Bombyx mori: one gene and its partner. The protein of the gene in region 2 purifies or fractionates together with the protein of the main gene of each other region. This does not show direct contact. Links are inferred from orthologs where the notes say so. Each region holds a gene or a part of one and is shown on either strand. Other genes may lie near its edges. The genes, in order: PLCb4 and transient receptor potential protein.

Region 1 (3,836 bases), on a different chromosome or scaffold from region 2:
TAAGTCGTGATGATCTCAGCTGCTCTCTTCTCATCGTACAGCGGGTACAGGATCTCGTTGAGTCGAGGATCACGTTGCTTCTCATTCAGGAAGTTCACGAACTGGTCCAAATTGATGCGATCGGATTTGCCTTGAGTTCTGAAAGTAAAAACAAGATTACTTTCATCTTTCAAATCAAATCAAATCAAAAAAGTTTTATTCAACATAAATGAAAGTACATACTTGTTGAACGTCAAAAGAACTACCGCCAATTCACAAGAATTAGCCTCCGTCCTGAGAAGAATTGGCAAGAAACTCAGCGGGCATGTATTTTTTTTTTTAATATTAGATTATTTTTTTAATATTAGATTATTTTTTAAATATACATTTTTACATGAGTATAATAACATAACAATTATTACAATATTGAACTGCCCGGAGCGAGCAACTCATTCCCACTTTGTGCAATCTTCTAGATAATCATTGACTTTATAGTAAGCTTTATTGCACAGATGTTCTTTAATAGTTTTCTTAAGCCTATGTATATGTAGGTTCTGAACATCTTGTGGGATTTTGTTGTACAGGCGCACACTTTACTTTAGGTAAATAGTTTCGCATTTATCTCGGCGACTCATCTGGTGCTCAATGAAGACGAAAAAGAAAACTATCTCGAGGTGCCTTGAATTATTAATTGCAGTTAAAGCTATACCAGTTCATTGGAACCCACTTTACTGCGTGATCAAAGCGGCTGTATTTGACATCGTCGTGGCCTAAAGGATAAGACGCCCGGTGCATTTTTTTATTTATTGCTTAGATGGGTGGACGAGCTCACAGCCCACCTGGTTACTGGAGCCCATAGACATCTACGACGTAAATGCGCCAGCCACCTTGAGATATAAGTTCTAAGGTCTGAAGTATAGTTACAACGGCTGCCCCACCCTTCAAACCGAAGCGCATTACTGCTTCACGGCAGAAATAGGCAGGGTTGTGGTACCTACCCGTGCGGACTGACAAGAAGTCCTACCATCAGTAAATTAGTATCAAGCGGTGCGACTAAGCCGGTGTTCGAATCCCGCAGGCAAATAAAAAAATTTCTAATTAAATACGTACTTAGCTTATCTTCACGAACAACTCCAATGAAGGAATAACACTATATAGTAAGATTCAAATGGACAGAAATTATAATTTGCGTATTTGATGGTGGTAGGGCGTCTTAAGTGCCCGCACGGGTAGGAACCGAGCGGGCGGGCGGGTAACTATACTGAGACCTTAGAACTTATATGTCAAGGTGGGTGGCGCATTTACGTTGTAGATGTCTATGGGCACCAGTAATCACTCACTACCAGGTGGGCTGTGAGCTCGTCCACCCATCTAAGCAATAAAAAAAAAAAAAGAACCACCATCTTACTTTTTCCTGCCGCAAAACAGTAATACGCTTTTGTAATATAATGTGGTAAGTAATGCGTTTTTGAAATCACTGTCAAAGCTGCTTACAAATAGCTACGTTCTATAAAAGAAGCCTGCTTATTTCTATCGTAATATGTTCCAATTTCAAGGGTGGGGCAGCCGTTATACTATAGAATTGAGCGGCGACATGCACGTTGTTAATGCCTATGGGCTCCGGTAATCACTTATGAGCTCGTTCAATCGGCTAAGAAATAATAAAGGGTCTTTGAGATATAGTCCTGATATAGTTTAGCTCTCAATCCTAAAAATTAATCGGGTTGGTGGTCCCATCTTATTAGTATTACAATTTTACTTAATAATGTATTATTTATTTCTCAGTATTAATATAATGTAATAGATATTGTGATTAGACTGCTACCAAACGCCGGTATAGTTGCCACACGTAAACCTGGTTACTTGATACAATATATGAGTCGTCTATTATCAAAGGTGGCAATCTGTGCATTTGGACAAAAAAATGTTATTGATATGTCAATACAGATTGATTTGAATATAATTGTCTCCTTCAAAGAATACGGTTCAAAACCTGCATTAAATAAAGGTTAATACTTAACCTGTTATTTATCTAAGATGTCGTTCAGAAGAGTTTTGTGACTGCCAATGGAATACAAAGTCAATAATTCGTTTTTCTGATTTACCAGTAATTGTCCAAAAGTCACATTGCCGGCTTTGATACTTGTCGACTCATATGGAAAGACATAATCATGAGTTCCATTGCTAGTTACAACTACCATGCTACATTGTGGAGGGGTGCGTCGCCAGCGGGAGCTTTTTAGTACCACGCACGCGCGTACGCAGCACACCGCTAACTCTCCGACGCATTGTACTGTCTCGCTACTCAATGGCTTGCTAGCCTATGCTCCGGAAATGGATATATTCCATGATGGTTTGCAGCGATTTATTGTTGTTGTTAGAAGTTACTTAAGCTAATTATTAATAAATAAATAAATATTTACTAACAATCACGCCACATTAACTGGTCCCGTGATAAGATCGTAAAGAACTTGTGTTACAGGTACCAGATAACGGAAAATAAATGTAAGATTTTTATTATACACATAAATATATTTAATATACATCCATAACCCTGGAAAAGACGTTTATATTTATCATACAAATATCTTCCCTTGTGTAGTGACCATGTCACTTACCACTACACCAGACGGCCGTTATATTAGTACGTTAATACCTTACAAATGTTTTGGTTTATGCTGTTAATTTGTAAATAGACTAAATAAATAAATAAATCTAAAATAATACTTACATAGAACGAAACAACTCTTCAATATCGTTTCTCGGGCAAATCTTATGATACAGAGCGTAAAACTTGTCAAACGTGAAGGCTTCTTTTTCCATGACGTCATTCTTCCCTGACGGCAGACCCAGTTCGGACAGGCACTGGTAGACCAGCTTCTCAGTTTTACCAGAAGCAAATGTCCTGGCCACCACCTTGACGGGAACTTTGCCCCGAGGGTCGGTCAGGAAACAGAGGCGCATCCAGCTGGAAGAAAGTCAGGGTTAAAGTGGTCCTATATATTATATAGGAAATTACATTCGTTAAGTTTGTTTCGTTAGTTGAATTTCTTGTGTTCTGTGTTATATAAGAAGACTAGCTGACCCGGCAGACTTCGTAGTGCCTCAATCGATAAATAAAAGACCTAAACTTTTGTATAAAATAAACTTAAAACAAACAAAAGGAATCCGTCCGATCGGGACACATCAAAGGAAAAACAAAATTGTTGTTTTTATTTAATTTCGAGCATTTCCATATTTATCTTTACCTTTTAAACCTTCTCTGGACTTCAACATATAATTCAAGACCAAAATTAGCCAAATCGGTCGAGCCGTTCTCCAGTTTTAGCGAGACAACGAACAGCAATTCATTTTTATATATGTAGAAGAAGAAGATATTTTTGAAGAGAGAATCAATGAGAATGATTGCAAGTTATTCGGTAGCTTTATTAACACTTGATAGTACCGCTCTATCAGTAGTGGGATAAGGTAACGCATTGGTAAACCGCTCCGCCTTCACAATGGGTATTGGAACAGTTTTCGAAAATTTTAACAGATTTTTTTAGGGGTTTTTGAGGTATTAGCATTAAAATTCTTATAGATGGACACCAGTAAGGTGATGCTGGACGATTGATTCAGAGCTTCGAGGTCAAGAGAGTCGCGAGCTGCCTGAGAATTCATCTCAAATGTAGACCTATTGAAAAGAAAAAAATGTTTCTGCTTAGCTTAATAAAAGAATTTTCCATTAACGTTACCCAGATAGCTAGTTTTGGATACGGCAGTGGTACTCTTGTAACTAGTGTATAAAAATAAATGTTTTACTGTTACTGTTGCTACACAGAACGTTTTTTAACTATGGCAACTGTATTTGAGCAGAC
Region 2 (3,836 bases):
TTAATCCGTCCATCGCACCAAAATAATCTTTACAACAACTAGATATTACGTCTTGCAACGACCAAACAACGTGTTGGATGTAAAAATGATCTTGAGAAAACTTTAACTTGTTAAGACAGGATTCTTTGTCTTCAAAATTAACATAATACAAATCTGTATCGTAGTAATATATCGAAGGAGCGAAATAAAATATAAAATTAGTTCAGATTTGTTTGAGTATTCTCACTGACAGACCGACGCGTCGACGCCGGGTGGATTAAACGAAATCAATCGTAAACAGACCATTAATTCGAATGTTTGTTTATGAAGATTTAAATTGATCCAGAAGAGAGATCGAACTATTAAAAAATCTCAATAAACAAACACGTCGCTCCGCCGATTTTAGGTCATCGAAAGGAATCTACGAACGATTTTATGCGTTCCCGATTTTTATATGACTTTATAAAATTGATTTATTTGTGGACTATCATTTTTAAGGTTCATTTTTGTCTACTATAATTAATTTTAATTATAGTAGACAAAAATATAATTATAATATAATTAATTTATTAATTTCTATATTAACTGCGATCCTTAAAACTTTTAACGACTGAATAATAATTATAAGATTCTCTATTTTATTTTTATTTTTATAAAAGAGTATTGAATATAGAATTCGACACGTCTTCCTATATAAGTTACCATATACATTTTCAATCCCCAATTCTCTATTTTAGTATATTGATCGAGACAATTATTTATTTATTTAAGGATTACCAACAGGGTTTATAGTAAGACATAAAATAACATTGACATGTATAGAGCAATTGATAGCTGCAACTCTAATTAGAAATAATCACAGCATGCATTACATTAATATATCAACAGAGATTTAACAATACTAATAATAATAAAATAAAATAAAAGAAAGACAACAAGGACAGTAATACCCGAGTACTCAGACCAAGGCCAAGGCTGAGGTTCAACAACAAATTTTATAATTTTGTTCCTGAATATTGGAAGGGAATTATCTATGATGTCACGTCATATCTTAATTTGGATGGCGGCATAGGCTTTGGCACACACGCACAAAGCGGTGCCTCACTTCGTCCTCCTCTTCGAGTGAATATCCGACCATTATCTGAGCGTTAGTCTTTTTAATACGCTTTTATTAGCTTCATACGTATGTTACGTATGTAAAGGAATCTTTGATCATGATTATGACCCTCTTCAAAACGTCGGATTAACTCGAAATTTGGCACACTTATTAAGAATCGATGACAATTCAATATTTTAAGCAGTTTGATCCGTTATCCTTACTAGGATAATCAGGATTAGTGATTTTTTGTGTTTTGTCTACTGACTAGTGTCTGCGTCAAGACCAAGAAGGGAAACTACCAGGCACGCCGATCACCTATTTCTCGGATAAGTTACCGACTGATGATTCAGATGAAATTTTTGAAAAATTTTAAAAAAGATATTAAAATTCAACTAAACAATGGAAAACGAATAATAGCTAAAAAACACTTTTTTATAATAAAATCATTTTTTCTTACACTATTTTTAATTCAAATTTATTTATATTTTAAATACGCTTACTGCTAATTTGCTTTTCATTAATTAACCTAATGTAGGTGTCTGGTTGTCAGGTGACAGTCTAATTAGGCGGGCCATGCCCTCGTCTATCTATAATGGGAATCAAATGAATAAATATCACTGATTGATGCTTGTAATTATTATTGCTATGATCCATTGATGCTGTATATGCTCATAATCCAATTGTGATTAAATTTGGTGTACTAGTCGACTACTAATTGACTACAGTTGATGAATATTTTTTGACTATTGATTAAAAATTCAGACCATGATGTAAATTTTTACTTTATGTCCAAATTGCAACGGGCTAGGTTCGTACTTGTTGTTTCTTGTCAAGAGCAAGTTAAAGCGCTCAAGTATCTGCGTAATGAAAATCAGGTGTAGATTTCAATGGTAATACAAAGACAAAATTATACATACTTTTAATTTGTAAAGTAATACCGGGACATCTGGTAAAATCAAGTCGTCGTGGCCTAAAGGATAAGAATCCCGCAGACGAGTACCAATTTTTCTAATGAAATACGTACCCAACAAATGTTCACGATTGACTTTCACGGTGAAGGAATAACATCGTGTAATAAAAACCAAACCCGCAAAATTATAATTTGCGTAATCACTGGTGGTAGGACCTCTTGGGAGTCCGCACGGGTAGGTATCACCGCCCTGCCTATTTCTGCCGTGAAGCAGTAATGCGTTTCGGTTCGAAGGGTGGGGTAGCCGTTGTAACTATACTGAGACCTCAGAACTTATATCTCAAGGTGGGTGGCGCATTTACGTTGTAGATGTCTATGGGCTCTAGTAACCACTTAACACCAGGTGGGCTGTGAGCTCGTCCATCCATCGAAGCAATAAAAAAAAAACGAGATACAAGGTACCCTCTTTTCAACACAAAAATAATAACGAGCAAAAGTTAAAGTATCCTCTTTGTTATTGGCTTGTAGCTTATAACTTTAAATAAGTACATTTTGATATCGTTTTAATATCTGGTGATATATCATTTATTTGATATTTTCCACTTAAATTTGTTTAAAAGTATCAAGGACACCAAAAAAATTTAATGCAGAAATTTTCGTTATCAAAAAATTTACTTTACACAAATCACCATTCGTTATGTTTTAGTTTTAATTGATTTACCATTTTTTGCTTGTATTTGATAGCCAATTTGAGACGTCCAAGTGTTTGCCTTTCCCCGGGCTCCCAGCAGTCCAAATCCCATGGGTTGTAGTTGAGCATTATCTCTAACTCCTTTGAGGTTCTGGTGTGATCTAATAGTGAGGTGGCGAATTCTTGGCATTGTTGACGTAAAGCCTGAATTAAAATCAAAATATGATACACAAATATTGTGAACGTAAACCCAAAAGCAAGTAAAGAAACAAATGAATTGTTCCAAAAAATCTCATTGCATTATATCTCGTAGAACTTTAAAATAATAATAATAGAATTAAACAATCAGTAAAATAAATTTCAAACAGTGCAGTGAGGATATATTACCGTTATCTTGTAAAGCTGAGACTTAGAACTGATGTCCTAAGGTGGGTGGCGGCATTTGGTTTTGTTGATGTCTCTGGTCTTCAGTAACCACTTAGCATTGGGTGAACCGTAAGCTCGTCCACCCACCTAAGCAAAATCGCGAAGCGGGAAACTCACAAAGAACCTATCATAGGCTTACCTTATATTCAACTCTAAACTCAGTTTCCATTCGACTCAGACGTCCCAACTCCCAAGACAGCTGGAAAGCCGTCAGCAGTGGGTCAGCTGACGATAACGCTATGAGTGAAGGCGAAGAAAGCGCGCGATATGCGTTAATCCGAGCCTGAGAATGCCGCAGAGAATCCTCTTGTGAGGACTTCACACATTCGTCGCAACCGCATCTGATTGAATAGTTTTTAAAAGCTTTAATTAGAAAATCCAGATCACAAATATCCTTGGTTTGTTCAATGAAGTACCGATTGCGTTGAAACAGCAGCTGCATTAATATATTAAGTTTTTTTATTGTAGGTGCTGAAGGGTAGAGGTCCTCATGTTTCCCCGGCGTAAACTGGTTATCAGAGCCTATAGAAATTACAATGTGATGGTAAATATTTTTCGAATACAAAACCGGACGGTGATGGTTCAAGCTTTTCATAGTTCACGGGAGCTCACAAACAGTCTTATTAAATTAGGGACTTACTTATTACCACCCATCACTCTAGAGCAAAGTTAATTTCTATTACCAAGAATCTATTAATTCGTAATGCTTTTGAACAAATCATTTTTACCAC

The links.
Region 1: the proteins of transient receptor potential protein (region 2) and PLCb4 purify together in Drosophila melanogaster (affinity purification with western blotting; 3 studies listed by BioGRID). This does not show direct contact. The link is inferred for Bombyx mori from reciprocal best matches to the Drosophila melanogaster genes trp and norpA.

Annotation. Positions count from the first base shown.
Region 1 is NC_085124.1:1,852,334-1,856,169, reverse strand, and holds part of PLCb4 (1-phosphatidylinositol-4,5-bisphosphate phosphodiesterase beta-4), read right to left. Parts: intron 2,948-3,836; coding exon 2,711-2,947; intron 139-2,710; coding exon 1-138. UniProt on the Drosophila melanogaster protein: The production of the second messenger molecules diacylglycerol (DAG) and inositol 1,4,5-trisphosphate (IP3) is mediated by activated phosphatidylinositol-specific phospholipase C enzymes. Essential component of the phototransduction pathway.
Region 2 is NC_085120.1:6,368,140-6,371,975, reverse strand, and holds part of transient receptor potential protein, read right to left. Parts: intron 3,447-3,836; coding exon 3,245-3,446; intron 2,884-3,244; coding exon 2,710-2,883; intron 1-2,709. UniProt on the Drosophila melanogaster protein: A light-sensitive calcium channel that is required for inositide-mediated Ca(2+) entry in the retina during phospholipase C (PLC)-mediated phototransduction.